Lepisosteus oculatus: one gene and its partner. The protein of the gene in region 1 binds, or shares a complex with, the protein of each later gene. Links are inferred from orthologs where the notes say so. Each region holds a gene or a part of one and is shown on either strand. Other genes may lie near its edges.

Region 1 (15,299 bases):
TTTCTCTGTCAAGTTGTGTGGAACATTTGATAAATGTAACTTTGCAGTTCTTTTTTTTACTGGTATCTGGTGTCTGTTTTGAAGGAAATGGTGATTTACATAATCACAATTCACATTCTCTTTTAAATGAAGTTGAATTTGGAATAGTACAGAAAGGACTTCAAAGCCTTGTGGCTTTATGGAGATGTTTCCGGAAGAGAAGAAACAGCTTCTTTGCATGCCCAACCTCCCACACCTTTCATTTATGGTAATAATTGCCTTTATTTGCCTAGCAAATGATGTTTTTCCATAAAAGACACTGAATATCTTTTAATGTAATTTAAATGATCTGCAGGTGTGCAATGTATAACTGTTGCCACATTATTTAAAATGAAAAAAAAAATTACATTTCCTCAGAACAGTTAACAACGTAGCAGCACCTTAATTAAGATTTGACTTATAATGAAGCAGACAGTTATAGTGTTTATATCTAGAGTCAGACATTTAATAGATTCACTGATAAGAATGAGTCAGCTGGACAGTCTTCAAGGACTCCCTTTTTTATTTGGAGATAGCTGTCTGTGGCGTTAATTGACAGCACTAGTGTTTACCAGGATATAGATTATTTTTATTCACCATGTTTTCACAGACTGTTATTCTTCTTCTTATTATTATTATTATTATCATCTGTACACCAAAGTTCTTGGTGAAACAACAATTGTATTTTATTTATATCACTTTAGTCTCAATATTTAACTTTACTTCCTGCTTAGATCATCAGAAAGGCGCAGACTATGAAGCAGCGGTCAGCAGAAATGGCTAACAGACAGAACTGACCTGGCTTTTACGGCTCCTCATTAGTGCTGTGTCATCGTGTCACAGAAAAGACATAAATTTAATGGTGCCTTTTGCTGGGCTGTGTTTGTGTCTTATGAGTGTGCAGCCATGTCTGTGGGTACAGGTGTACAATAAATGTGTGCATGAATGCAACTGCGATCTCATGTAAGCACATCACTGTAGTGTATCACAGTAACGGCACTGTACGGAAGTGTAGTAGGCCATACCAAACGTAAGGCAAAGAAACAGCTGCACAAACAGTTGGAAACTACGGAAAAAGTAAATGTGAATGCATAGTAGACAGAAAAACATAAAGCTATTGGCACTTCGCAAATTTACCATACTAACATTTCATGAGGCATGCAGAGCCTGAGCGTTAAACCAACCTGATCTAATGAAACTATACAATGAGAAAAGGGAATGCAAATAAGACATAAAATAAAAAAGTAATAACGCATAAAATTAATACTGCAGTTTGGTAACAATGTCACAGTCTCATCCACAAATTCTAAACTTGTGATATTAATTTTCTAACAGTATAGAAACAAATCTGCTGCCACTGATGGGTTGCCTGTGTTGCCAATGGGCCTCAGTAAGGAGCCTGCAGATTCTCAGGAGGTAATACTGAGTGTCCTTTACCGAGAGCTGAACCATGACTAACGGGAGTACTGTGAGAGCAGGATAAGGTGCCAATTGGTCACCGTTGTTAGCACCTAGAAAATGCATTCAGTTTTCAGGCAGTGGCTTCAGCCATTGACACGCGAAGAGAAGGCTCTTTCACGACCTCTTCTGCGGGAGAGATGAAGCTGTTTTCAGGCAGGCTGAGGGGAGAAATGCCGGATTTGCATAAGAAGGTTGATGTCATCCATTTTGCGGGCTCATGTTTTATGCAGCAGAACTTGTTTTTGTCTGTGTCATTAGCAGGCACAGGGGATTCACTGAAAGCCCATTTCAATGAGAAACGTTTTGGATTTTTTGTCCTGTTTTCATAAATCTCATAGCCACTAATGTCCATGTCATTGCAGTTTTAGTACATCTCACCAAGTTCCTTGTATAGTTTATGGAATATTAAGCATATTTTGGTAAGACTTCACGATAATATGTGGCTCGTCATGATTAATTCAGATTGAATAAAGGAAACAATACAACAGTGGGATCATGAACACAGGCTATGTAGTTTTAGCAGTTTTTTTAAATAAAAAAACATCTTCTTTTCTAGAACATATTGTACTTATTCCCCAATGTCTAAATAAAAATGCAGGGATATTTTATTGTACATGGGGCTTTTGGCATATCCTGACACTAATACTTTAATACCAACTAACATTATCCTCAAATGAACTCTAACATAAACCAGTGCAAACTCAGACTCAGTTTTTTCCAGACAGAGTTCTTGTGAGAACATTCTACTTGTTTTAGGAAGATTTATTGAACTGGATCCATGTTTCCTGTTCGCATTTACCAGATCAAATCTTTTTGACATACTGTCAGGTGTGCTTCATCATTAACATCATTTCTTCCTCTCCATACATCTATTAAGCTAAATGGCTACTTTCTGTGCTACAGAATACATAGCTATAAACTGTTAGCTTGAAACATAATGACAACATATTTCACCTGAAGATCAACACAGAACAGTTTTCTTGGATAGAGAAGAAAGATCATTGAGGGCAAAGGTCAAAACAATAAAGGATGTCGAAGAATGTGTGGATGTATGTTTTATTTCTCTTTGCCACACCAATGTCATCTTTTGTTAGATTTGTGCCTTTAAACAATTTTGATGACTTTCAGAGAATGAGAAACAAATTTTAATCTGGAGTAAAGAGCTTTGAAAATGTCCCTGTTGAGTCTCTTTTTTTATTGTCCAGACAGAGTGCTGGATGTTCATGCCTTCCAAACATTAATGTACAGTACTGTACATGTACAGGGAAAGGGGAACCTATATGGTTCACATTAAACTCCTCCATTTGTTTTAAATTTAATGCAGGAAATGAATCACTGCCTTTATAGTGCTGATGGTTTAATTATAACATGAAGAAATACGATGGAAATTTTCACCAGGTAGTGTTTTTGGTTTGTTTCTCCTCTCCTGTCATCTGAAGCAGACCCAGTGCAGATCTGTAGGGGCTACCAATCAGCAATTTGACCCTCATCACCCCACCCCCTGAGAAAAAGGAAAACAGCAGTAGTAACTTACACTCTACTGATAGGAATGCATATAAAACATCTCCTAGACGCTACTGACATACTTCTTGCTATTCAAACGGCCACAAAAAAGAATGAGCTGTCAAATATAAAGTACCCATCCCCATACAGAGATCCTATTGAATCCACCAGTCAAACATTTGCTTAAATAAATGAATAGATTCCTCTGTGTCTAAATGAATGTGCTAAGCAATACGTATCATTTTTTTGTGAAGGAAAGTGGAACACTGCGTAACTGACCAGAATGAAAGCATGCAGAGTACATACTTTCGGTACCGGCATTCACTGAGTTGCTGCAGAGGGTAGGAATTATTCTATAGAGATCATCCACTCACTCTCTACAGTTTTTCTCACTGGGTTTAATGACATTGAGCCTGAGACAGACACCATTCTGGACACTGTTTAGGAGTCTACGCCAGGACACCCCTAGGTAAGAACATGTTGAGGTGTCTGTGATTTTGTTCCCGATCAAAGTATATGGAAAGTGTGACTATGCCATTACCAAACCAAAAAACACTCAATTTTAAAGTTCCTTGTTTTTTTTTTTCATATCCTACTTGGCTTGGGAAAATCTTAATTTGGAAACACAATTCTGACTCTCTTAGAAGTTTGCAACACTGGGATTGCCTTGCGAAGTAAAGACAACCTGGGAATCTGCACATTGGCAGGCCATCTCCTTTACAAGTATAAGCTGATAGAAGCAGAGCAATGGGTAGTAAACTGAATCTCAGAACAGCACAGCAAAGTAAATGCCCCATAATAAACACACTGACAAAACTTCAATAAGGGATGCTCTGAGAGTTGTCTGGAGGAAAAAAAATAGTGTATACTTATTGTAAAATACTTGAACGTCTACTTAAAAACAGGAAAACTACATAAGCAAATTAGAACATACAGTATAAACTTAAAAAGAAGCTTAAATGTACATAATTATCTGTATGTTTTATGAATTGGTGGGTTGGGTTGGAGAATTCTAGACCTTTCACTAATCCGTAGCTAAAGTGCTCCACTCCCTAGGAGAACTGCATGTAATAATGAGGAGAGCCCAGATACTGGATAACTGGGTAACTCCATCATCATAGGTGGCTCAAAGCTGCCTGATCAAATACGTCAATTAGACATCTCTGCAAAAAATAACTAATATGTGTGATGAAAATAGTAATGCAACCAACATCTACATACAAAAGACTGTTTGCTGGAACAGATATCAGATTTTCTCTCCTTGTGCAGGATTTCTTTTCCATCATTTCACATTTCGTTTTTTGCTTTTGTACTCTGTGTGTATAAATTGCTATGGTGTTTTAAATATCGACTTTTAAGACCTAAAAGCAAACAGGGAAACCGCTGAATTGCTTCTGCATTTTCAGGAAGCTGAGTTTTCTTTTGCATTTCAGAAGAATTGGAAAATGGGGAGGCTGGGAATAAGATGCTGTTCCTTCACAAAAGTGAGCCTCCTTGATTTTGAAGCTTTCTGTCTTGCTTGAAAAGGACTGCAAGGTGTTTCTCATCCTGCCGTATTGTCTGCAGGACAGGGGCTGAGGCAGGGCCGTGCTGTGCAATCTGTGTAGAGCCATGGCACATTATGACCTCTTATTTTCCCTGGAGAGCTCTGGTCTTCCAGTGTCGCTCTGCAGTCGAATTAGGAGAGTGCCACTGAAAGAAAGGACATTTCAATGGCTTCTGGACAAACTGGGGACAGCTCCAGACTTAGTAGAGGGGGTAAGAGAAGGAGGGGGTAAATGAAACTCAGCTGGGGGTATGGGAGCCATTGAATGGTAGCCTTGTCCCTCTTTTATTTCCCTGGAAACCTGGAGTTATTGTTCCCCTCCCAGCCCAAACTGTCACCTTTAGTCCTTGATGGCTTTACTGCGCTGTCCTGCAAGGCTCTGTGGAGAGAGGCCTATTGGCCCATTCATACCACACCCCAAGGATTCATTAATAGGCTTATTAGCTACCCCATTCACAGCCAGTGGGGACTGGTTTTTAAGAGGCTCCAGCTACTTTCACAGAAAAAAAAACTGTGAAGAGATTACCCCCCCATCCTTCTCTCCCTTTCAATCCATTGAAAAGAACAAAACTGATGTGAAAGGCAGCTAGGTCCTGCTGAGATAGTTTGGGGCCCTGGATACATTTAGGTATGTTTTTTTTCTACCATTTTTGTGATCCTGAGTACGCTAGTGCTGTGACGGTCTGATAACAGGTGGCCACAAACCCTGGTTGTCACTGTTGTGATGACAGCTCTTTGGGAAAAATAATGTCTGTGAACAGTCCCTGATTGTTTGGCTCTTAAAGGTAATTATTGGACAAGGCAGGGATGCAAGAACACGTAGTCCTGCTGAACTCTAGAAATAATAACCAGCACTAACTGCAAGACTAATAATTTAGAGAACTTGTATTACTGGGCTGCTTGGCTCACTTCCTGCTGTCTATAAAAGCTACCCCATGATATTATCTGGAAATTCTTGGGGGTGAGAAATCATCACATCATGAACTGAAGTTTCAGCACATTTGGTCTTAAAAAAGAAAACTTAGAAATCAAGCGTTAGTCGCGTTAACTCGTGGTCCGGAGACAAGAATAAAACCCTTCAATCGGCACACTATTACTTGGGTCGTTACTTCGAAGAGTTAACTTTATTGCCTGCCTCTCTGTAGCTATTATTCAGTCCGCTTGGAGGCGTTGTTAAGAACGAGAGGCTCCTAATGAAGTTGGGCTCCCGGACCCAGAGAACTTCACAATCGCCGGGCTGTGAGCTTGCAGCGTATTGGGCTCAGCTAACAGAGCCGGAGAGACCGGTGAAGTGATTTGATTGGCGAAGGCGGGCTGAGTAAGAAAGCTGCCCAGGAAACATCTCAGGTTACAGGGGGAGTGACCCTAGACCGAGCCGGAGGAGGGGGCTCGTAGAGTCAGTGATGGTGGTGGGGGGGACGCAAGAAAAAAAACCTTTGTAAACCTGACAAAGCTTTTGAGATTAGAGCAAGGTTTCTTGAAGAAGGCATACAAAACACAAGAATCGTAATTTAATGGATTTGCTCACTTTTTGGAGGTTTCATAGCGTCGCCTTTTACATCAGGATCCGTCTTTTTAGTTCTTTCATCTGAGTTTGCAGAGCTGGAAAAGAATTTATTGTTATTTTTTGCTGTTGATAAGTATTTTTTTAAAGAAAAAAAGTGGTGAAGCAACAGAGAAGAAAGTTTTCCTGGACCTCACTCGGAACTGCAGTTGTCTTCGGGGAAATATATATATATACAGGGTTACTCCGGATTTCTTGAAGGGTCATGCTTGCACTGTTCCACGGCTATCGGATTTTCCAGTTCTTCGGTGCTGTTGTGGAGAGCGCGGTGACGGCGAAGTTGGAGTAGTAAAGCGCAGTCTGGCATTTTTGTAGCGGGGAGCTGTCCCGGTGGGAGTTCACACGCATTCCTCGCTTTGATTCGGCTCATGCACACGCCTGCTGCACAGTGCATGAGGATCGGCTTCTCCAAGGCTCTTAAACGCTCAAGGTAACTATCGCTGGACCCATCGCTTGTTGAAGATGCCCAGAATAGTTGTGCGAGTAAATCTCGTGCCAAAGTAAAGATGCTTTAGCATCCTTCGTGCTGTTTGCACATGTTACCTCCGCGTGCATGACTGTTGTTTTCTTTTATTTTTGGCATGATTTTACACTTAACTCGTAACAACGTTTGAATTAGGTTTCCTGCGTACCTGTTCTGGAAGTATATGACTGAACTTTTCCCAATGGCCCTCGTTCTTTGCCAATATTTTAATAGAAATCTCATTTTTGTGTATTATTATTTTAATACTCATTATTAACATTGATTCGTGTTTATACAGTTCTCATTTCAGTGGGTTTTGTTCGGTTTTATTGAATAAAATTCAGACTTTGCTTTGGAAAGCGATAATGCATGTTTTGTAGCAATTCTCTGATAATACTCAGATATTAATTGCAATACAACTTCACTTGCAGTATTTCATTTGGGTTCTCAGAAGATGATTTGGCTGTGTTGTTATGTCCATATAACACTAATATTGAGGCGTGAAAGTGTTATTTCAAATGAAGAACCCTAGAAGTCACTAAAATATTTCATTCTTTAAAGCAAAACGTAATTTTATTGTAACGATTATAGAAGATACAGTTGCCTGATGTTGATGCCTGAGTTGAGTGATGGCCGTAAATCTCCGCGACTGACAAGCGTTTTCATTGTGAATCTGATTTGAATTTCAATAGAATGCAATCAGCGCTTGAGAACTTCACTTAGCAATCTCAATACAAATGTAGATTCTCCAAGACGCAATTACTGCAGCCTATTCAGTGCGAGCGCAGCGTCTTCCAGCTGGAAGATTATGCGATGTTTGGTTCTAAACGAGAAAAGTATTTATTGCACGCTACAAAAAAGTCAACGAAACAAAAATACGTGAATTATTAAAATAAGTATCATGCTCAGTATCTATCTGATCGAAAACCTGGTCTCGAATTAAGATGCGTAAAAATGTCATACAATTTAAAGTGAATAAAATTAGTAAATGATGTCAAGAAGTCCTGTATGACATCGATTGACTGAAACTGTAGTCTAGTGATCCTTAAAAAGTGAGATAAACTCCACTGTTACCGTGAGGTTATTCCTATCTGAAAACACTCCTGGAAAACACTATCTGAATGGATTTCTTCAGTTTGTATTATTTTTAATATATAGTATCCTCAGTATAACTTTTTGATATGTTGTTTGGTATTTTCGATTTGTCCATAAACGTGAAGAGCTACCGATTTTGACCATCGGGTTTTTAAAATAAAACGTCCTGTTATTTGTATTTCGTATTTTTACTACGATTATTTAAAACGCGTTGTAGCAAATAATGTAGGAAATGCGGTTTCATTGCCGATGTACTCCGAGAGGATTTATATCTGAGTTGTGGGGCTAGATAATGGATCATTAAAGGGATAATAATGACATTTAAATTATAAATGCTAAATCAAGAAAGTTGAAAGTAGAATTAAATTATTCACGGCAGTCCCCTCTCCTAGGAGAAAGCGAAAGATGCGGAACACGATTCAGTTTGTGTTGGAAATAATGTTACTTAATAAAACCACAATTCATATCGTTATTTCCACGCGGACTGATAGTATTTGTGTTGTGATAAATGGGACCTTTGTTGGCTGTCGGAATGGAGAGCAGTGTGCCCCTCTCTGATCCACTGACCGGTCCGTCACAGCGGTTACAGTTTCTGGAGTACTGGGCGCTGCGGTCCCCGCTGGCACCGACTTCATTTTTCCAGCATTGACGGTGGTACAATTTCTGTTTGAAGTGGCTGCATTTGAAACGGGTTGAACTCCAAATTTCTTCAGTTTGTAGGGCTTTGTTATGTAAAATAACCATTAAAGTATAGACCAAAAACATCTGTGAAAATTCTCTTATTCTAAACATTCAATCTCCAGACATATTTTCGTGCTTTCATGTTGCTGTTGTAACAGACTGTTTTAATTGCCAGATACGGAAAAAACCTCGTTAAGTATTTTCTTCGGGAGGTACTGCGTCTACTGTAGTAATTCATAGTATTTTCCAGGATAATAATCCATTAGAAATAGTTTATTAATACATAAAACTCTCTTTCAAATACATTCATTCTCATGTTTTCAAGTGTGTACCGTATTTTTTCTGAAATTAATAGAAAACCAATAGAAAATTGACTATATTAGAAAAAGATTATTTTTACACTTATTTTCTCGTCAGAAATTCAAAATGGATTTTAAAATGATTTTGAGGGAAGGGAAACAAAACCCAAATGATCTTTAACACAATTAAATGAGAGTCTGGCCAAATTATTCTAAAAGTTGAAAAGAGGCTTCATTTGCAATGCCGTTTGTAAATCCTTAGGTATGATTGTGGTCTGGCTTGTTTTGCAGCATTTCAAATCACTGTCCCATTTTTGAGACTTGAGGTTTTGCTGCCTATTACTTACAATGTATCAGTGTCACATGCTTTCAGTTTGTGTCAGAAGAGTGTAATTCAGTTTCACAAGAAAGCAGAGGCAGCAGAGCCATAGCGTAGGAACTCAAGTGCTGCCCGTTGAAGAGTTTCAAACTTGCTCGCAGGTGTTGGTAGAGACTTGGTACAGATTTGAAACATAATTGGGTTCTCCTGCATTGTAGGAGATGGTAGCTGTTGTCCAGCTCCCCTCTTGGGGACAGTCCAGGACTGGAAACGGGCATTTAAAGACAATCTGCTGGAGGCTAATTCTCTCCCTGTCTTTCTTTCTCCCTCTCTCTCTCTGCCTCTGCATCGAACAGTGCTACAGACACTAGCGCTGGTGGAGAAAGGATTGAGTGCCCGTGTTTCATGATTCCACAGAGGTCCTCAGATGGGATCTGTGTCCGGGTGGAGATCCACAGGAGCATGGGGAATCTCCGCTAGCAGGATGTCCACGTGGGCTTGCCTACTGTACCTGGCTCTGGTGTCAATGGCAACTGTCTCCTTGGCACGACCACCGTTCAACACTGAGGAGGAAACCACACTGGAACCCGAAGGTGAGCAGGTGTACTTCTGTGGCATTGCAACACACTGGCAGCTGTGTTCAGTGACAGTTGTATTTCATTCTTTTTGGTGGGGGGAGGTGGAAAACTGGTTAACTGGCACAGAGATACCATTGCTCTTTATTGAAAAAGCCACAGATTGTTTTATAAATAAGACTCAGAGTCATCTGAATGACCAGGTGATACATTTCAAGTACTTATACTCTTGGTGTTACTAGGCTTGTGGTAAAGATAGGTGTTTTGTTTATTGTATTTATTGTTTTGACTTTTGATATGAAAATGCATCAGTGGTTTTGGAATACTTTTCTTAGGATAAGTTACTTATTCTACAGTGAGATAAGGCAGAAATGAGAATTACATACAAACCTCATTTAACTCAGAACGTTTCCCCCTCTTTTCTAACACTCACATATGCATATATAAGGGGTCTGTCATCAGTTAAGAAAGATTGGAGGCTGTCTGGCTCACCAAGTGTAATCTGAGAATGAAAGAGAAAGGCAAGACCCTCATCGCTGGCTAATGATGTTCTGAATTGATAGCCCACCTGATGGTCTGCTGACCTCTGGCTGCCCAGGCTGGTGCTCAGGGCTGGTCAGCAGGTCATCAGAGGTTAAAGTAGTGAGACAGTGTGGGACTAAAGCAGACCGAGTGAGGCTAGCTTCTTTTAGTTGACAGAGCTTTTCCACTGTTCCAGCTGGTGAAAACAATCTAACTGTTTTAGCCTGTAAACAAGCAATGTACTCTATTCTAGATCAAGGCAAACAGCAGCCACACACACTCCTATTTCCCTTCAGGATCAATAAAGTCTTATCTGTCTATCTCACACCTTCACTCCGACTGTACAACAGAGAGAAACATGCTACAGGAAAGAGAAAGACAATCCCTACAGGCAACCAGGCTGTGTTCACAATGGTTTTCCAGAGCTTATTTCTAGAATTATTTTTTAGTTCTTTATATGACTTGCAAAGAGGGATGAGAGAGTTGTTGGAAGTGAACGTTAAAGGCACTTTTCAGAAGGAATACAATTATTCTGGTGAAAGCTGGAATAATTTTGTACAATTCACTAGTCAATGTTCACTCTCTCTAGGGTTGTGTGGTTAAATTTGTACTTCGCTATAGAACGAGAAAAGCCTGAAAATAAAGAGGAGAAAGCTTGTAAATGGTTTTAATTTCAATGTTATTTATGTACATTTCTTTTATCAAAGTAAAATCAAAATAGGAAGCCTTTTATTTGTTTATTATAAATGTTTCTGCTCGGTTAAACTTTTGTGCTCTTTGTTCTGACCTTGCTTGTTAAGAAAGCAGTTGTTCTATTTTTGTAACAGGAAAGCTGGATTTGATTTGAAAGTTTATCCTACAGTGTATGGAGAATGTTTTCCTTAATTTATTCTTTTTACCTATGTTTCTCATACATCACAATTTGTTAGCTGGGTTTTTTGTTTATTAGCGTTTTTATGAAAAAATAAGAAAAGCTATACTTTTCCAGAGTGCTGAATAATAAGTTCGAATTCCTTTTCATTTTATGTGAAGCTATGACATTTCTGTCATGTTCTAATATTATTTCAGAATTGTTTTTTTTAACTTGGTTGTTTTCTTATAAATCAATGAGAAAAGCTCATCAGCACCTATTGTCATCTCCAGCAGTGGTGCCCTTATCCTGATAGTGCTGTGTGTTATAGAATTGGGCTGTGTGTAATTTTCAGTTTTAATTTTTTTAAAGAAAAAATCCTTCTGCAATTCCAGTGAGAGTTCCTTTTCCAAAAAATATAAATTCTAATTCTGATAAACTTTGCACTGTGACTTCATAGGCAGTGGTATGAGAATCGCTGGGGAATTTGGAAAAGAGTCCAGTCTTGGTTGGTTTGCTCTGTAGTCGGCGTTTCCTCCAGATTGGGGCTGTCTGTAATACATAGGATCCAAAACATAGACTTGAATTCCATTATGTTTAGTGGTTTCAGGACTTCCTTTTCTGAAGTAAACTCACAACAAGCATGTGCAAATGATCTTGTTGCTTTCTCAGTGCTTCATCGGGTTGTGGGTTCAAATCCCAGGTGAGATGTTGCTGAGGTAGTTTATTCAGTAAAATGCTTTAAATACTAGTCAGCTAAATATAAAATATATATAAAAATAAATACTGGGTTAATATTTTTTGACCTGCAAATACTTTTAATGCTGGCACTATGGAGTAGTGTGGAGTGGTTCTGAGCATATCGGCACTTGTGGAATCTGCAGGAGAGAGGCCGTGGTGCAGGAATCTGCCTCTAATGGTGTCTCTGCAGACAGACAGGCTGGCAGTACGTTGTCAGTACAGCACTATGCTCAGCTGTTGCAGTGAAAATTACACCCCTGAACTGAAAGCTTGCAGTCTTCTGCTTTCACAAAGGAGTTCTGTAATCCTGTCCTGCACTATTTTCCCCTGTGTTGTACTCATTATACAGCTGCAGAGTCTTAAATGTCTTTGTGAATATTGAAATAATTATGTGACCTAGACATTAGAATGTCCCAGTAGTGTGAACGATTGGGTCAAGCTCAAGGATGCATGACTTTCTTGAGGGAGCAGTAAAACATAGCTTAACATACACATGTGGCAAGCTCAAATGTAAGCTCATATTCTCATTTTTCTTGCAATCAAATCTGGAAGAAGAGTCCTATAGAGTTTTTTTTAATTTTATGTTGTTCATTTTGTACATTGTCTTAACACGTACTTTTGTCAAGACATGTACCTTTGGCATAGCCTGTGTTACATTGCTGACTCCTTGCATACCTGCATAGAAGCATAGATCACACTGACCCCCCAGGGTGGAGTTCTGCTGGGAAATAGTAGCTGTAGAGTGATGTCACCTGAAAAAAACATGTCATGCAGAACACACCCCACTGCACACTCCAGCTTCCGCATTGCTCAGCTTATAATGCTTAGACAAGCTAAACTTTTTGTTCAACAATGTTGATTAGTATATTTATGCATGTGGGAGGTTTTCTTCTGCAAGTTGTACTTGTCTTTTAATGTAGTAAATTATGGGGAAATGGTTTAGTGAATCTGCAATGAAATATTGTACATTAGCTGCTCGCTGAGATTTTCCGGCTGGAGCTTTTGGGCTGTATGAAGATCTAGAAGGAATGCTCTTGATTCCTTTGTGTATGAAAGTTAGAAAAGGCTGAGTATTTTTTTTTGTGTGTGGAATAAGGGGGGGCCTGTCAGCACAGTGGTGTTGTGGTTAGCATTGCTGCCTTACAGCATTGGTGCCCTGGGTTCAATTCCTGGGGTGCTGTCAGTGTGGAGTTTGTGTGTTCTCCTGTGTTTGTATGTGATTCCTCTAGATCCTACGGTTGCTTCCTGCACTCCAAAGATAGAGTTGGAAGGTTAACTGACTTCTCAGAAACTTGGCCCGTGTGTGTGGTCTGCAGTGGAGTAGCTTCCTGCCCAGTTTACCCTGCCTTTTGCCCATTGCTTGCCTTGGCTCTCCCATGACCCTGTATTGGATAAAAAGGTTAGAAAATGGATGGATGGCAGGCCTGTATAGACAGACACATATGGAAGCCCAGGTTGTTTATAAAAAGCTATGAAATTGGGGTTTATACCTGGGAAATTTCTTCTACAAAATTAGACAAAATACAGAGCAGTGTATAGTACCGGTGCAGCTCAGTAGTGCCTGACTGTTCTTTTTCCCTTGAGAGAACTTGCTCTTCTGGGGAAAAACACCCAGGAAAAGCAAGCTGCAGCATGGTTAAACAGTCTGCTGCCCTCTGACTCCTCTTCAGTTGGTGCTGATGAGGACAGACAGGCCTCTCCTGTCCCAGCTGCTGTGTGCTGTACATTGGCTGCTGGTTTCAGAACCATGCTGAAAGGTTTATGAGGAAACATTATAAAACTTGACAAGCTGAAGTACTTCACTACTCTGGGCTTTTCTGGCAATTGAGAAAGTATGAGGTGAACCCTTCTGGAGGATCATATAATGGCTTTTGCAGCCCTCACAGGTCTGTATGTAAATCACGCTAGGCAATGTCCAGATAACTTGAGCTGGAAGCTGCAGCAGATTATAAACTTTGTAAACCTTAACTTGGCTTCACAGAGCTCTCCAGCACAAAAGCAATTCCTTTAGGAGCTTCCCATTTTTTTTCTCTGTTCAGACATGTTTTATCCATCCTTAATTTGAAATACATAGCCCAGACAATTCTGAACGTTTGTCAAGAGCATCAGTATAATGCCCATTGTTTCCAAACAGTTTTCATAGAGCCTTTTAAAGTGCAACTGTAACATGTTTATTTTTCATGCTCCATGCATACTGTGTGCTATGTTGTGTAATCCCCTCAATGGTGCATTATCATACCTGTTGATCAGTGGGTGTCCTGTGATGCCACTATTGTTTTATTTTCTTATAGTAAGACAGCCAAGCAAGAGCCCTTTCATTCCTTGACTTTTGCTGTAATCAACCTGTGTGCGATTTCTGCAGAACAAAGAGCCAAAGAGGAAGGGTTAAACATGAAATAAGGTGGTTAATCCTAGGGGGTTATTGTAACAGTAAAACACACATCATAAAGACAGAAATTGCTCTGAGGTCCCTGTGCCTCCACTGACAGGTATGCCACCAGCATTGAACTCTCCCATTAAACAAACTCATCCACTTGTTTGCTGTGCCCTTAAACAGCTGCTAAAAGGCTTTTATGACCCAGCTGTTGTTTAGCTCTATTTGGAGGACAATTGTCTTTTGTTTGTATTTGCTAATGTCCCAGAAAACAACTCGGTTACCTCCTGTGATGGATTTTGCAAATTGCTGATAAAACCACTCAAGCTGTAATCGCTGAAGCCCTGTTTAGCTCTGCCCATTGTAAAGCAACAGGGTGTTAGAGTCACGGCTGCTCAGAGTAAATACAGGCTTCTTTACTACAAGTTATTTCGCTCCAGTGAAATTATACCATGCAGTGCAAAAGATAGCGGCAATGGGCCAGTTTCAAGGACCTTCAAGACCTTCAGCTTTCCAAATGTGCACTTTACTGAGAGAGCAAAGAAAGGGTGTTTCTCTAGCTGTAATGAAAGCATTTTCTCCTTTACAAACCCAACATCCCCACATGAAAATGAAGGGCAAGATTTTTTTTGCCTTTCCTCAAAACAGGCACTCAGCTATTCAGTGGTCATTGTGGTTGTGTTTATATTTATTTCAATTGCAGCTTTGCAAGCAGGGTGCTTAACTAGACGTCATGCTCCTTTATGCTATCATAGTTTTTAAGTTGCAAAAATATACAGCAGTCAGGGAGGGAACTGGCGTTGGCGGCTGATTGTTGGCTCAGGGGTCCTAGGAAAAGGTCCTCTTTGCTTTGTAATGAGCAGTGTGCCACTCGGGGTGTCCTCAGATTGTTGATGAATTCACCTTGGAACAATCACCTGTTTTTTATCATCAGGATACTCATAGAAAAGACAAGAAACAAGAACAAAAAGGCTCAGCAAATAAGATGATGCTCGGGGGAAACCTATCTGTCCACTGCAGACAGCCACTTGACTTCTTTTGGATTTTAATCTTCATTTTTGACAGCCACTATTATCTAAGGAGAAATACGTTTGTGTCCATTTAGATTTCTAGTTTTCTGTGTGAAATATTTGGCTTCAGGGTACAACTGTGTTGCCCTAGCCAGGATTTGAACCTGCAATCTTATCCACACACCACATAACAGTCTTAGAATAAGCACCTGGTGCTGGGTATGTAATGCTTATTTTCCCTCTTCAAACCTCCTAAAAAAGTGCATAGGTGGACGGAG
Region 2 (15,299 bases), about 6.3 Mb from region 1:
TCTGCTCCAGACTGTTTTAGTATCACATAAAGCTTCCACAGCACTCCATGTGGGACTAAAAGTGGGACTAAAACCAATCCACCAGAAATCACTAAATGAACTAGGTCTGTCGAGTGGATTCTCAGGACAATATAGTAAAGGATATCACGTGAAATTTAAAATACTGGGCACACTCAAGGGCGGACTGAAAAGCCATGCGGAACGGGGTAAAGCAGTTTCTTTTACTACTGAAAAGGCCCGGCTTTTCGTCACTCTAGATGTTACAATTCACTAAACGGTCACCAGCAAATCATTTCCATAATCTTGTCTTAAAGAAGCAAGCAGCTCTGAAATATTTTATTTTCTGGACAGGTTGGGATGTACGGTATCTTGAGCTCTTCTTCAGATGGGGTTTCCCAGTATTCCTGCTGGACACAATTAGCTTTAAGGTCCCTTGAGCCTTGCCCCCCCCCACAAGGCCTTAAAAAGGTTTGTAAAGGTTTGAAACTTTTCCATCATGAATTTTCAGACAATCTCCCCTCTGCCTCTACCACCTGTAACCAGTGTTAAAACTCAATGACAAAAATGATCACCAGTGGCATTGTGTCTTCTAAAATGCAGCAGCACAAGGCTGTGAGAAGGAGAAGACAAACTGAAAACAGCCTTTGAATGACAGAGAGCCTCTGTGGAATTATTCTTGGAACATCTCATATTTTTCCCTCCAAATTTCTTTCACTGATGTTTCCTCTGCTTCTGCCTCTGCCTAATCAGAGTCTGACCCTGAGTAATGTCAGTTTCATCAGTAACGTATCGGTGCAGAGATAGACAACTGCCAGAGATAAATGTGAGTTTTTATCTTTTTTTTACAAAACATGCACATTGTAAAAGGCAGATTTTTCCAACTCCTCCATTTAATTAGATCATTGTAATTGAACTGATTGTGGAAGAGTCTCACAGAGCTCTTTTTTCCTTATGAGTATCAGTAAAAGGGTGAAGATAAACAGTACCTAGGGGATTCTCATATTATTTCCGCAGTTGCTCGTTACAAGACCTATGACCGTAAGTAGGATTTTCAGTAAAATGGTAATAATCATCTAGTTTATGACAATTAGAAGCTGACTTTTTCATATTTTAGTCAGTTATTGATGAAAGATTTGGCTGGTAAAAATAAGTTTGATTATTATTAAGGGGTATTTATTATGATTTTTATTAAGTGACAGTTCTCAGGATATGAAATGAAAGAACCTTAGTTTTAGTTTAAAAACATAAGAATATTTAATTAATTATAAGAAGGAGTTGAGTGTCACCTTCATCAACATGGCTGGTTAATGAGTTCTGTAATACCATAGACCTGATTGGATAGCGGCTTCTCTTTTCGATTATACTATACAAAATCCTAAAAAATCTCTTTAGATTAATAGTGCATTTTTTGCTTTGTTTCTGTACTGTAACCTGCTAGGATACTTGTCACGTCATATGGCCCTGCCTTGCACCAGATGTTGTAGACTGCTGTATCCCTTTTTTTTATAAATATATCAATTTTATGTGTGTCACTTAACGAAACGTGGATCAAACTGTGGTTTGAATATTTTGAGACTGATCAGTCTGCTGTGTCATTAGTACCAGGCTGAAACCGACATTGACATGTCTTGTGCTTACCGTGCCCCCACTGAGGAGAGACAGCCCTCCTCCCTCAGTGTGTGTCCTGGTGACCTGACAGATCAGGCCTTCTGGAAGTGCAATCAGGCCCCGAAGGCAAGCAGTGGGCAGCCAGAGACCTGCAGCCCGGCACAGGGCCTGGCCTGCCCTCTCTTAACCCCCTCTGGATTGACATCCATCACAGCCTCACGCAGCAAGAGCCTACACCCTGCCTCTGTCCCCCTCTCTCCAGTAGGGTAGCCATACCCATGCCTTTCAAGAATGAGCACTGTACTTGCTGTCTTCCTGAAAAAAGGTGCACTTTGAGATGATATAAAATCTGTCCTGATGACATCATCTGTCAAAATTAAAGCTAAAACTGATAAACAAAGCTGCTTTCCACTATTAAAACTCTGGAGAAAACCGATGTTTGAAACATTTGCTTCCAGCTGGTTTCTTTCAGTTTGTCTGTTGAGCCTGACAAGACTCCACTACACAGAAACTAGATGTCAAAAATAAGCAGTACGTATGAAACCCAGACTTGACTTTAAAGCAGAGATGGAGAAAAGAGCAGTCTAGGAGCCTGTCAGCCAAGACACAAGGCTGTGTAGCGCTGGTCTGGAGTCAGGATTTGTACAGATGTATGTACAGTATATATAATGCAAGGTTGTGGGTATTGTTGTGTCGGAAGTGCCCGCTCTTTGTTGCCTATGTTTGCATGGATCTGTCATGCAGACTGTGTGGATTGTGGGACTTCCATGGAATGGGATTAAAAATAGTTTCTCTTTGGGGGGGGGGGGTCCACCTGGAATTGCCCCCTCCCTCGTCTAAACACACTACATTCCATTGGCCGAACAAGGAGGGGCTGCAGCCATAAAAGCACTGGTGGCATGTAGTGTGACATCTTGATCACATTTGTGTTGTCTTCACTTTCAGAACTGCACCTTGGCTCTATCAGCCGTGGTGTGGTGTTAATTTACCATGAAAACCCTGCACATAGTTTCTCCAGCGTCCAGCAGGACACCCGCTGGAGCTGATAGCAAAACTCCCCTGAAATGTTCAACAGAGAACGGAACTTGAAATGTTTCTCTTAGTAACTGGCTTCTCTGAACTTTCCAGATACTTTCATTGTGCATAAAGGCTATTTTTTATCCACATTTCCTATAACTCTTTACCATAAATCCTTTAAGATATTTTGAAATTACCAATACTTTCTCCTGACTTTGCAGTTGTTCTTTAGTCAGTTAGGAAAAACTGATTTCATTCATTGGTGGAGGTTCCTAGTGTATGAAGTATGAAGTATGACAAAAAGTGTATGTGAAATGATACTTGACCTGCAGTCCACTGGTCTTCTGTTGTCATAGGACAAATGAAAAAATATTTTACCTAGAAATCTGTCTGCATTACGTTTTCTCATTTTAATGTTTTCTTGATTTTCTTTTTCATATCACATGTCTAGCTTTTCCCAGGATACAGTTGATTGATAAGCTAACCCAATTAGATGTATTCATTTTACTCATCTTTTCTTCTCCATCTCTTAACAACATGGTCGGGTAGTTTTTTTCCATACTCTCACTACCCTTTACCCAGAGAGTTGTGGGAGTATGGAACAAACTACCCAGCCAGCCAGGCTAATGAAACGGACACTTTGGCGTTTTTCAAGAAACAGCTGGAAGAGATCCTTGGATCAATTAGCCACAAACTGCCAAAAGGACCAGATGGGTCGAATGGCCTTTCAGTTGTAACTGTTCTTACAGTCTCAGTTCAGCCTTATTTAGTTTTCCACGCCGATTCCACTCAAACACTGAAATGCGAAATGCCCTTGTTTTGAGTGGTAGCCAATCCAAGGCCGCCTAATTCTGAAGCCCTTGGTAAAATTAGTCTCCCATCTCCTTCCGCCATGCCAAAGATACAGAGGAACTAATCGGCACCACATCATCTCCAGTTCTTACATTCCACGTGGCCAGGTGGCCTGCAGCAATTATTTTTGTTACCGGCTTTTGGTTTTCGGTCCGACAGCAAACTCTAACTTGTTTTTTAAGAGTTCTGACAGAACACGCCTGATTGTGAAACCATTCGCACTTTAACAGCCCATTTGATCTTAATGATGTCTGAAATCAGAAAGTTCTTGAACCAGCCGATGTGGGCGCTGGGGCAGAGGGGTTTTAATGGTTACCGAAGAGGTCCACAGGAATATCCCAGACTGTACATAGGAACTGTTGCCGAGTTTTTATTCTCCTTTCAGATTAGCTTTTAACCAAAATAAAATGAGTGAAACGCTTTAGACAAAGATGTTAAGGAGCTGGGTTTTTTTTTCCAGAGCATTCACTGTCATGGAGCTGAATCAATTGTGATTCAATCGAGCATCTCTTCATGATAGGCTCAGTTTCTGTGCAGTCTGCGATTAGCACTGACATATCGTGAGGGTGGGAAATCTTTATTAGGGCTTATTTGCGCTGAGAATTGCTAGTGTTTGCTTCTGTTCGTTGTGTGTGAAAGTCTCTACCTCAGGAGCCCACCCCCACCCCCCCGCACACCCACCTTTGAGTGCTTTATGTGCTGTGGGTCGAAAAGAAAACCCATTTCCCATGTTAGTCATCCTGGACAGGTTAGCCATGGAGCAGCAGAGCGGCTGCTTTTGGGGTTAATGGGGAGCCCGGCCCGGCCTCAGGCTATGCAGAAGTGCTCAGCCATGGAGCATGAGTGTTGACTTTTGAATGGGCCATTAATATCGGGCCACTTCAAGAGAGAGAGAGAGAGAAAAAAAACCGTACACATCAAAAAAACAAAACTGGGGCTTTAAAAGAAAGCAATTCTTGAAAGAGGAAGAAGAGGCCAATGTGTAGGCCTCGAGTCTTGTTTGATTTCAGGGAATGCTTTCAGGACTTCCCAAGTGACTGGCAAATCCCCCTCCCCTACATACACCCTTTTTACCTCTCACTACTGTCATAAAATCAAAAGAACAAGGCCCTGTCACGGCCCTAACACTCCTCCCATCGAATGTGGTAGCAGTCAACATTGTGTGATGTGGGCCACCCACCCGTTTTTATAGAGAAAGGTAAAGGCACTACGTATCTATGAACTACTTATTAAAAAGGCGTCGGGAGTGCATTTGTTTTTCTGATCTATGCATCCATTCTTAATCTGCTTTTCCTGACGCGGGGCCATGGTGTCTTTTGTGATGTTTTGTTTTAAAATATATATATATATTGGTCTAACGCGTTTGATATCTCAGACTGCAAAACTAGCACTCATCCATAACTGAAGCAAAATCATTTTAATTGACGAGTTACCGCTTATCGGATATTATCTAAACGTTTACGCAATAGGGATTACTTCTGCCCTCTGGCGGACAATCTTTATTACTGCGTTTCTCACGAGTGCCTCGTTTACTTAAAGGAATTCTGATGACTAAGCAACTTCCCTTCACTGCATTATCATTGCTGTTTTGTTCACATCCCATTTTTTTTACATTTCTAATCAATTATCATGATAAATTTGTAAACAAAAGTGAAGACGTACTATTGTCAATGTATTCTCTGCTTTTCGCATTCAGAAGGTTAAAAAATATAAAAATTCCGTATGTTTGTCAATTAAAAATATAATAATGTATCCTGTACATATCAATATCTTAATTAGAACAAACATTAAATTTGGCAAGAAGTAAACGTCTTACTGCATAAGTGTATTTGTACAAAGCTACTTTTTAATTTGTATTGTGTTATTGTGCTATGTTAAATGCACATCTGTTAGTTATCCAAATAATTTCAAGCCACATTTAGGTTAGTTAGCGGCCTAGGGGCGGAGCAGCAGCTAGGTTAACAAAGTACGCGTGATCTAAAGGTTAATTTAATTACTTCTACATTACATGCTTTGCAGATCTAGAGTTGAGCTCAAGAGCCAGCTTTCAGCATTACACACATCGCCCAAGATTTGTTTGTTTTTTAATCCATGGAAAGAATATAGCGTTGCAATTTATTAGCAGTATTATTTTTTTGTTTTAAAATGACCGTAAAGACATTTAAAAAGGGGAGCCTATGGCGTTGTTGAATTTGCTGTAATTGCCTTTTCTGTCCCAGAGAGTAAAGACGCGCAATTTGTATGATTTGTAAAATAAGGTTCTTCAAAACAATTTATAAACTGTATTTTCAGTCATGTTTTTTTATAAAACGGTATCGGGGGAGGGGGAAGCTAGAATCAAAATGATGTGCAGTATTAAAACAAGGCTTTAGAATTGCTTTCATTGGTTTGTATTCATTACTCTTGGAGATAATAGTGAAAGTAAAATATCAAACTTATATTTTTTATTTGTGTTGGTGGGGAGTTGCACATCTGTTTCAGAGCTGATAAGAGTTTAGATTTCTTAAAATAATTGTAATTAAACTTAGCGGAGCTCTTTGCGTTTTCGTCTCCCGGGGGTATGTAGAAATTTTAATTTTATGATCCCTCTCATACCGTCATTCACGCGCTACAACGCTAGATGTATTTGCGCTTTTCATGTGTTCGCATAACCAGCTGAACAGCTGAAATCAGCAACAGTCACAAGTAACTCCGCAATGCCAGATAATAAAGATACAAGCCCTGTATTCTGTGCGAGAGAACGAAACTGGGAGTCCCAGTGTCCAGCCTTTCTTTACAAAGACGAGAAGAGATGGTACCTGCATGTTTGTCTTTCTTTGCAAATAGGTGTTTAATTAACTCGAGTACCTGCAAAGAGCAATTTGCATCTCGGGCATTGCAGTCTTTGGTATAATTGATTACCAGCGATCAGTCAAAAGTAGACTAACCGATGTCTTTCAATTTGAACACTCCGTCCTGAAGGACATTTAATGGGTGCTGAACAGTGCCAGCTTTAGTCGCTTTGGGGGTCAAAAATTACTTTTGTGGACCTTATAGGGTTGCGCTAAATTGACAGGCGTTCGTTACTTTTTTTCAGTCGGTGAAAAGATAGCTCTTCTCATTTAGGAAACAAAATGTTAATGGCAATTATAGGCTTTGATAAGATAAAGAAAAGATGGACAGCAGCGAACGAAGCAGGAGCTTCACATCGCAGGTTTACAGTAAACTTCATCCCTGCCAATCAGCTAGGCACAAGAGTCTAGGAGAATAGGATCTTAAAAAGACGAACTGGCCGGTTCTCAGGTCTGTATGAAAGGTAGTGGTGTTTTGTTCTCCGAAGTTGGTCCGCGCGGGTTCAGCCTTTTCAATTTAAGGAAGCTAGAAATTATTACCTGTGTTCACACAGTAGAATAGAACGAAATTCGCTACATACAACATATCACACTGAACGTGGCAAATCTAACTTTGAAAATATTGTTTATATAGGATTTTTTTTCAAAAGAATATAATATTACTCATAAATCCTCTGGTAAGTGTAAGGTTTGAAGATCCTTGTTTAAAACAGCAAAATGTATATATGGTGCTGCTTTAATTGTAAAGCTCGTGGATTCAAAAAAACATTTGAGCATACTTAATGATGGAAGTTCAGCTGTGCTGAATTCTTATGCAAGATATAATTTCTCATTTTTGAAAAAAAGTTGCAAAAATGGGAACAACCCCTCAGAAATTCATATAACTATTGCGGTATAAGTATTCTTAATAAATGCATTTAAATTTAATCGGCTTAATCGTTGTTTTGGTAAGGCTACAATACTATTGGCTTCTGGTTTTACGAGAATAATAGATATTAACGAGGGTAAAAAAGGCCGTTAAAAGCCACATCGCTCTGATTAAATCAACTTTGCAGCCCGTCATTTAGCTAGAGGAGTTATTAAACAAAACCGTCTGGGTTGGCTTGCAGTATTAAAAAAAAAACAACAATCATGGATACATTCATCATGACCTGAGCCATCATTTAAGAAGCAATGATAACTTTCCTTAATAAAATGGTAGTTTAAAGTTAATGTCGTTTTTCTTGAAAATATAAAGTCTCTCAATGAAAAAAATTAGAAAGTTGCATAATGTATCTTAATTTACCCTTGGCCCTCATACAGCGTTTCATTTTCCTTGACGTGAAGCATATGAACGCTATCGAGTTATTGAACGACAAAGCTTCTTTTCTACTCTTTGCCTGTCCTATAGATATAGACAAGCTACAAATTTGGATTAGCCTTATCAATAGTGAGTGGTATGGAATTAAGTCCTGATTACGAAGTGTGAGAGTACTAGTGTCAAAGACACTAGATTACACTGGATGGAAACTTTATATAATTGGGGATTTAGAATTGGGTCCTTTTCCCCTTAATGTGTTTTTAATAACCGTTCTCCTTGGATTGTTCTGCGTTTCTCGTATCATTTTGGAGCTCCAGCAAGCGTCTTAGAAAATGTGAAAAGACGAGGCGAGAACAGGGCAATTTAAATAGTTGAGAATGTGATATTCCTGGGGAGGCGTGAGTGTTGTTGTTTTTTAAAGCTGTAACGTTTGTAATCCCTTTAATACGTCTCACACATTTCTTTGGTAACGTCACCCCAATACACAAGTCGGCTTTATCAAAGTGTTTCTGCATCAACTGGGCATCATTATTTTCTTTTAAAAATCATCAGAACTTCATAATTACATGTACTTTTCTTTTTTGATACTTCAAACAAAATAGCTTACGCTTGTCAAGTTTTAAAGTCAGCCATATAAGATAAGGCTCGAAACGTGCCTTTTTTTCCCAAAGTTTTCAAATTAGGCTACATTTTTTTACTCCCGTTTGGAAGATTTTCCATTATTTAGGCTTATAGTCAAATGTATCGCCGTCGTAAAATATGTTATTTTATCTAGCGAACGTCCATCTAATCCCTCTGTCACACTCACAAAAAAGTGTATCTTTTCAGGTTTCATTTGAAAGCATTGACCTTTGTATTTTTTCGTTTTACCTACATGCGTTTTTTTTATTTTGGATATGTTATAGCTCCTCCCGTTTTCACTGAAGTGTTCGCTTTTGTCCAGGTGAAGGTATATTTTGATTGGGGGCAGCTATTGTTCTAGAGCGAAAGAAAAGGAGGCTGGTACGGAGGATCTTCCTACCATTTTAATCAGGGGTGCAGGCGTGAACAGGGGGTTGACATTGGAGACTGGAATGGGAGTAGAGGAGGGGATAGGGACTGGATAAGGACTCAGTCAAACACTGCTGCTCACAGAAGCAACATCACCCAGGGCTACTATTACCAAACGGGATTGCGAAAACTGCCACTACTGACCGACTTCAAGGAAAATCACTACAGGATCCTAACAAATTTATCAGGACAGTAGAAAAAGAAGTGATTCACCAAACAGAAACGCCTCGCCAAGGATTTTTCTCTGGGAAAGATTTTTTTTCAGTGTGGTCGTGACACGTAAAATACAGTACTTACTGCAACTAACTCTGGGGAAATACATTGGAGGTTTTTATATATGCGTATTTATTTCTTTTCTACGCTCTTCTCTGCATTTTCGGCATCAAGCGTTTCGTCCAGCTCTGAAAGGTGCTTCTGGTGGATACACGTTGTCCACGTTTTTTATTTATATATAATTTTAAATTATTGATATAAATTGACTTTGACGCTTTTATGAACAATCAACGTCCCATTCTGTCAATGAATTAAACCTGTTAGGGGGGAGAGAGTATAACATTGGATGATCCTTGTCTTAAAACGGATTATTTCTCCGCTGTCTTCAAAGACATTGATTTGATAGATATTTTCTTTTTTTCCTGTCACTCTTATCTTCTCAATTGTTCGTTTTTTGTGGGTTGCTGAAAATTATAATATTTCACCTTATTCTAACGCAAGGATTAAGAAGAAATAAAAATACTACGACAGTTGCCACTGGGCTGAACAGTATCTCCCTTCAGTTGTTTGTCAGATAAGAACCGCTATCTCCTGCAAAGGTACTGAGGGATTCTTGAACTATTTCAATTGCAGAAGGGGGCAAATTTGTCATATTTTAAATAATCTTCAAGGACAATCAGGCCATTCATTTGTTTCTACTATTTCAAAGCAACTTCAAAATGAGGATCATACCTTCAAGATTAAGCTACCTGTAAGTACATTTGCTTTATCCTTGATTTGTTTATAATGTTTCTGAAATGTTTTAAGTATTCAGCTATCTTCTTTTCTTCTCTTCCAGGATACTTCACCTCCTCGCTTTATGCTTCCATGCTCAGGTATGTCCCTACCAGACTCTGCTTTTTAATTATGTTTTAGAATATTGTATATGGATTGACTTTGTTCAGATGAAACGGTTGGAATTAAGATAAAGTAAAAGTCAATATATTATTTACGTTTGACTATAAATCACTTGAAACGTTTCATTAACTTTGTCAGAGTATATGTCTGAATACACAATATACTTTGGTATCAGAGCTGTCATCCGTGGAGGGCGTAAATATGGCATTTGTATTAAATTGTCATAATGACATCAGTGAATTATCAGCATATCGCTTTTCACGATATGTACAGTGAAACATGTTTCTAAGACGTCAGGTGATTCTCAACGAAAATAGTAATAAATATTGGAGTAAATATATATGTTTAAGGAAGTGCACTGTTATTCTAGAATATTAATGACGTGAATGTGTGTGCCTATATATATATATGTCTGCACACACATCTTGAAAACCCGTATAACTAGGAGAAAAAATGCGATTGCTAAAACAGATGGGACTGGCGTATGGCTGAAAAATTGACAGAGGATCGTTAAAAAATACGGCACAGGTAGAAAGAGAAGAGGGTGTAAGATAATTTTATTGGTAGGATAACAATATATCAGATGGAGATCCTACTGAGTGAGGACAGCGGTCTCGCCACATGCTGTACTCGTCACAAGCTGGCAGGCATTTCTCTAACCATATTGCCCCTCGTCTTAAAGGAGAAGCTAGGGCAGAAATAAATGTGCCAAGAGTAGGTTTGTGGAGAAGGTCAAGGGGGGACTATTAAGGCCAGTTTTCATTCACCAGTCCCCGTTGTTTCTTTAAAGCAGACCTCTCAATTTGACATGGGTTATTGGGAGTCCAGCTTGATATCTTCTCTATTCCTCGAGTTGACGTGAAAAGAGAATCACCCTTGAACATTTGCTCAAAATCCATGCAAAGTACACTGTTCTTGTAACAGGTTTAAAGATCAGCCGTATATACGGTGCTAATCTTCTGAGACAAACCGAGGTATCCTGCACACGGACTGCTAGTATAAATTCCTATTTCATATTTCCGGACAATACAATCTCGGTTACAGTGATTTTCTGTTTCCTATAAAAGTTTTCCACAAGACAATCCATATACAATGTCCTGTCTTTTGTCTTTGAACTGTTTTTATATTAAATGTACTTTAATTCTAAGATTTAGGTCATTATGTAGGGTACGCATGTATTTAAGGGCAATCTCTTTTAAGAATAAGAGTCAATTTGCTTAAATCCTTACACTTATAGTTGAAGAAAATATACATATCATTGTATATAGTTATTTTTTTTTTTGGGGGGGGGGGGGTGGTTCAGATATTCTTCAAGAGATATGTAAAGGTATGTTGTATATTTCTTTTCTTAATTTCTTAAAGGTAACCATTCAGTCCTCGCCTAATTTTACACAGCATGTGAGTGAACAAAGTAAGGTGACTGACCGGGTGAGCCGTAGGCTAATTCGGACCTACCAGCTGTACAGCCGGACGAGTGGCAAGCACGTGCAAGTTCTGGGGAACAAGAAAATCAATGCCATGGCAGAGGACGGCGACGCACACGGTAAGACCTCTGGTATTTCAAATACACAAATGACCCTGCACGGGGGAAGGGCCACCCAGAGATCACTCTCAAACATTTATGACTGAAACTTGCCATAGGTGAAGCAATAGAGGCTAATTGATTCAGCTTCATCAAATGTGGTTGTGAACACAGCGCGTGTTTTAATAACATGAGCCGCTGGAAAGTACATCTGTTTTGTCTAAGTCACTAGAAGTAAGGGGTTATTTTATTTGGACAATATAAACAGAGCGCTCATTCTTACGTTGAAAGTGCATTGGGCATATCATGCTAAAGGCAGGATCTAGTCATTTATACTTTATACCCTGTTTCCCTTGATTTGCCAGATTGTACGTGTTATTTCCGTATTATTCCTCATTTCTCATAATGTTGTATGTCTGGCATTAGTTCAATAAAACAATTAGAAATCTGCAAAATATGCATAATTGCAAACATTACACATTAAAGATCGGTATAAAATGTGTATAGGACAATTGGCTATATAACAAAAGGTGATAACAGGAAATTATATAAAGGTATACAATTCCTAATGCCTCACTTTACTAAAAATGAATGTGCCTGAGGTGTACTCTTTTAATGTATAGACATTTTTTTTATTATATATAATGATATCTTTTAAATTAGATAAGGCAATAGCTTAAATTTATGAATAATTATTGAACGCCAATAAAATAACAGAAGGCGTTAGAACATAAAGCATTTTTCTGGAGGGAAAATGAACCGTATTTCAGCTGTTGAAGTTGAAAAGAGGCCGCCGACTGCAGAAAATGTTAAAAACGGTTTCTAGATTATTCTGAATGCGATTCTCAAGAGAGAGCAGTATGTCTGGAAGAATCATTAGAACTCATCTTACTTTAACCTTCTGAACATTTCCTGACTAGCTTTCCCCCTTCTTCGGGCCAGTTTTAGGATCAAATATGTCTAGCCGCATTTTAACCTCTAGACTAACAGTCTTTTATACTTTTTATTAAAAGATTTTGTATACCTTGTAAGAAATGGAGGAAACAATCTAAACCGCCCAGCAGGTTCATTGCGCACGGGTCTTATAATTGGAATAACAAAAAGGGCTGACGTCTTGACCAGTTATGTTTAACTAATAAAAAGCTATGAAGACATTCCCATATGTACCCCTAACCTGATAAATTTATTACTCAGAGCGGTCTATGGTAGAGAAAAAAAATGTCACAGTTTGTTTTCCCAGTCACACTTTTTCGGGCGACCTGAATTTGCACACGTGCTGGACCATGGATGGCACATAAAATAATCACAATTAAAATCTGGCATTCACTTGATTCCACTCGAGTAAATATCTGAAATGTTGGCATTAGCGAAGGATACCCGTTAGCTCGGCGGTCATCACCGCCCAAGTTAAGCGTGAAACATAAATTCAGTTACCAGTAGTTGTGACACCGTTTTGATGTAGCATTTAATTGTAAATGTGTGCTGCTGGCTGGTTCATTTACATTTAAGTGTGTTAATATTGACAATAAATGCAACGATAATAATTATCATAATAAGAAACACACCCGTTTACTTTAAGAACAATCTGGACGAGGGCTGATACGGCAGAAACGATTGCGGGTTTAAATTTTCTGTAGGTTTTCGGTGTTAAGCGAAGGCCACTTCCTAAGCATGATCTCCCCATGCAGTCAGTAAAAATCAATACTCTTTAGACCTTTTACTGCCTACGTGATTGATTTTCCTGCCGTTCCTAGATAGAATTAAGGGACATTTTCTCACTTATTCAATTAAAAAGCTGGCCCTCGCGCTGGTAATAAACATGCTAATAATATTTACAAAGGGTTTTCTCAACAACCCCAAACAGGAAATAAAAAATAAAATTTTAATTGTGCTCATTTTAATGAAAAACACATCAGCTTTGTAGAGGACATATATGTAAAATACTTCTAGAATATATTCTTACCAATTTCCTTGCCTTTTGCATTTATTATTGATCATTCAAATTTACCCTAGCATAGTCTTTGTAAGCATTTTGAAATCAATACTCACTTAAAAATGTGTTTTTATAATGGCGCCGATTGGTAGTTTGGGTGTGTGTTCTTCCATATGACTGCAATATAAATGAGATTATGAATCAGAGTTAATTTTTCTCTGCTGCATGTTTAAAGAGTTGCATCATCAAAGAACTCCTCTAGTTTGTCCATCCACACACTGTGGTGTGTTTTGGTCTGCAGGGATTGCTGGCACTTTAGAGTTGGAGGCTTTGAATAAGAGTGCAAGCAAGTTGGCTAATGAAGCTGAAATCTCATATTCCCTATTGTATCTGTTTTGGGTGAAAACTACAGTCAGGTATTGTTAAAGTTTACCCGGTGCGTTTTTGGCAATGGCAGCATCGTGTGTCTCCCTTCACACAATATAGAAAATAATCAATGGGAATCTTAAATGATCCTTGTGTAAGAAATGACCCAGATTTGGACATGGGTGGTCTGGCGGAACGCATACGATGTCGCCAGACCTTTTGTGGAGGTTAGAAAGGTGAATGTGTCCTCAGATTGAAGTGGCAACTTGAGGCGGCGCGGGTTCTTCTGAAAGGGAGAAAGAGGAAAAAGCCAGAGATCCAGCAGGAAAATTCCAAATTACTCCAAAAAGATCCGAGGTAATCGGGTCGGCCTAGTGACTGACCCACCCCCCTTTGCCCTTATGTTTTGAAGCGCCATTGATTGGGAATTTGCATTTCTTTTGTTTGCAACTCAATCAATGGCTCCATTAAAAACTGAGACTAAATCAATAGCTTCTCTTGACTTGTATAGACAAAAAGGTGAAGCACACTTAGACGGGTTTTTCTTTCCTGGCCTGCATGTCATTTGCGACTGTTGCAAATGACAAGTTGCTGAAGGCGTAGGCCAGATCCACTCTGCCGGCCTGTCTCTCCTTCTGGGTTTGTCAGGAGAGGAAGAGAGGGTATTTCCAGAGACTGGACCCCCTCTCAGGTGGACAGTTTGTCCTCTAGGTAGCATTTTGAGAATCATAGGACAGGCAGAAATGTCTTTTCTCCCCATACTTCTCTCTGAATAAAACAGTCTTCGGTAAATAAACAAGTACAAGGGTGAGCACCTGCTGTCTGTAAAGCATTGAATGAATCATTTTATTTTCACTTGTGTTTAATCTTTATTTAACCAGCAGGCTCCCATTGGAGATTAGAATCTCTTATTTCAGGGAGGATCTGGTCTTGAAGGTCATTCAATTAACAAAGATGCATCGCTCCATTATTAACAAAAGCAAGGTAGTGACATCTCTCAATTAAAGTTTAGAATTATCAGGCAAACCCAGAACAATATCTCGTCTGACAATGACTTACAAGAGCTGAAACTCTAAATGACAAAATAAAATCACAAGTTTTTGGTCTCCATTAGGGTCTGATAAAGAGCTTTATTTCCTGTAACAAATCTAAAATCTAAAAATCCCTACTCCTAGCACAGTTTCAGATTATATTTAATACTATAATGACATCTTTTTCACAGCTAATTTATACACAAAATAAACAGCATTTCTGTTTCCATTGTATAGGTTTTCCAATATAAGTTTTGGATAATGAAATATTACCTGATTTCGAGTTGTATTATTAATTTTAAATGTCTCTAGAACAGAATACTACTCATGTGAAGTGTAACATTTTGGGTATTTGCTGTAGAAATATCACTACTGTTTTTCAAGATCTTTTTTTTTCAGAGAGCATCAATTTAAGCTTAAAGTTGGATGTTTGATAAATTTCGGCATACATTTTTCAGTATTCTTTAAAACAGATCAATTGACTCTAATCAAGTTTTTTTATTGTGATAAATTCACAACAAAACTACACTCAGAAAGCAAAGTGTAATCATCATTTCTTCATAGGTTTAAAAATCAGTAGTTTTTAAAGGAAAACAGCTTATGGTATGTAGTAATTATAAAGGCCATGTAACATTAACATGTAACGGGGGGTTAAAGGACATGTTTTGAAGTCTGTGAT

What was found.
Region 2: the proteins of fgfr2 (region 1) and fibroblast growth factor 8 are in contact, whole or in part, in a crystal structure (PDB 2FDB), measured with the Homo sapiens proteins. The link is inferred for Lepisosteus oculatus from reciprocal best matches to the Homo sapiens genes FGFR2 and FGF8. Residues at the interface, in NP_000132.3 of Homo sapiens: Glu160, Lys161, Glu163, Lys164, Leu166, His167, Ala168, Val169, Pro170, Asn173, Asp247, Val249, Arg251, Ser252, Ser282, Asp283, Ala284, Gln285, Pro286, His287, Ile288, Gln289, Ile291, His293, Leu309, Val311, Leu312, Lys313, Ala314, Ala315; in NP_149354.1 of Homo sapiens: His53, Val54, Gln57, Asp62, Leu64, Ser65, Arg66, Leu68, Ile69, Arg70, Tyr72, Tyr75, Arg77, Gly80, His82, Val106, Glu107, Thr108, Thr110, Phe111, Gly112, Ser113, Val115, Thr148, Glu149, Ile150, Val151, Leu152, Glu153, Asn154.

Annotation. Positions count from the first base shown.
Region 1 is NC_090699.1:29,539,917-29,555,215, reverse strand, and holds the start of fgfr2 (fibroblast growth factor receptor 2), read left to right. Parts: upstream 1-5,747; 5' UTR 5,748-6,460; coding exon 6,461-6,522; intron 6,523-9,305; exon of another isoform or gene 9,306-9,366; coding exon 9,367-9,542; intron 9,543-15,299. UniProt on the Homo sapiens protein: Tyrosine-protein kinase that acts as a cell-surface receptor for fibroblast growth factors and plays an essential role in the regulation of cell proliferation, differentiation, migration and apoptosis, and in the regulation of embryonic development.
Region 2 is NC_090699.1:35,819,708-35,835,006, forward strand, and holds the start of fibroblast growth factor 8, read left to right. Parts: upstream 1-8,505; 5' UTR 8,506-9,590; coding exon 9,591-9,622; intron 9,623-9,709; coding exon 9,710-9,746; intron 9,747-11,130; coding exon 11,131-11,311; intron 11,312-15,299. UniProt on the Homo sapiens protein: Plays an important role in the regulation of embryonic development, cell proliferation, cell differentiation and cell migration. Required for normal brain, eye, ear and limb development during embryogenesis.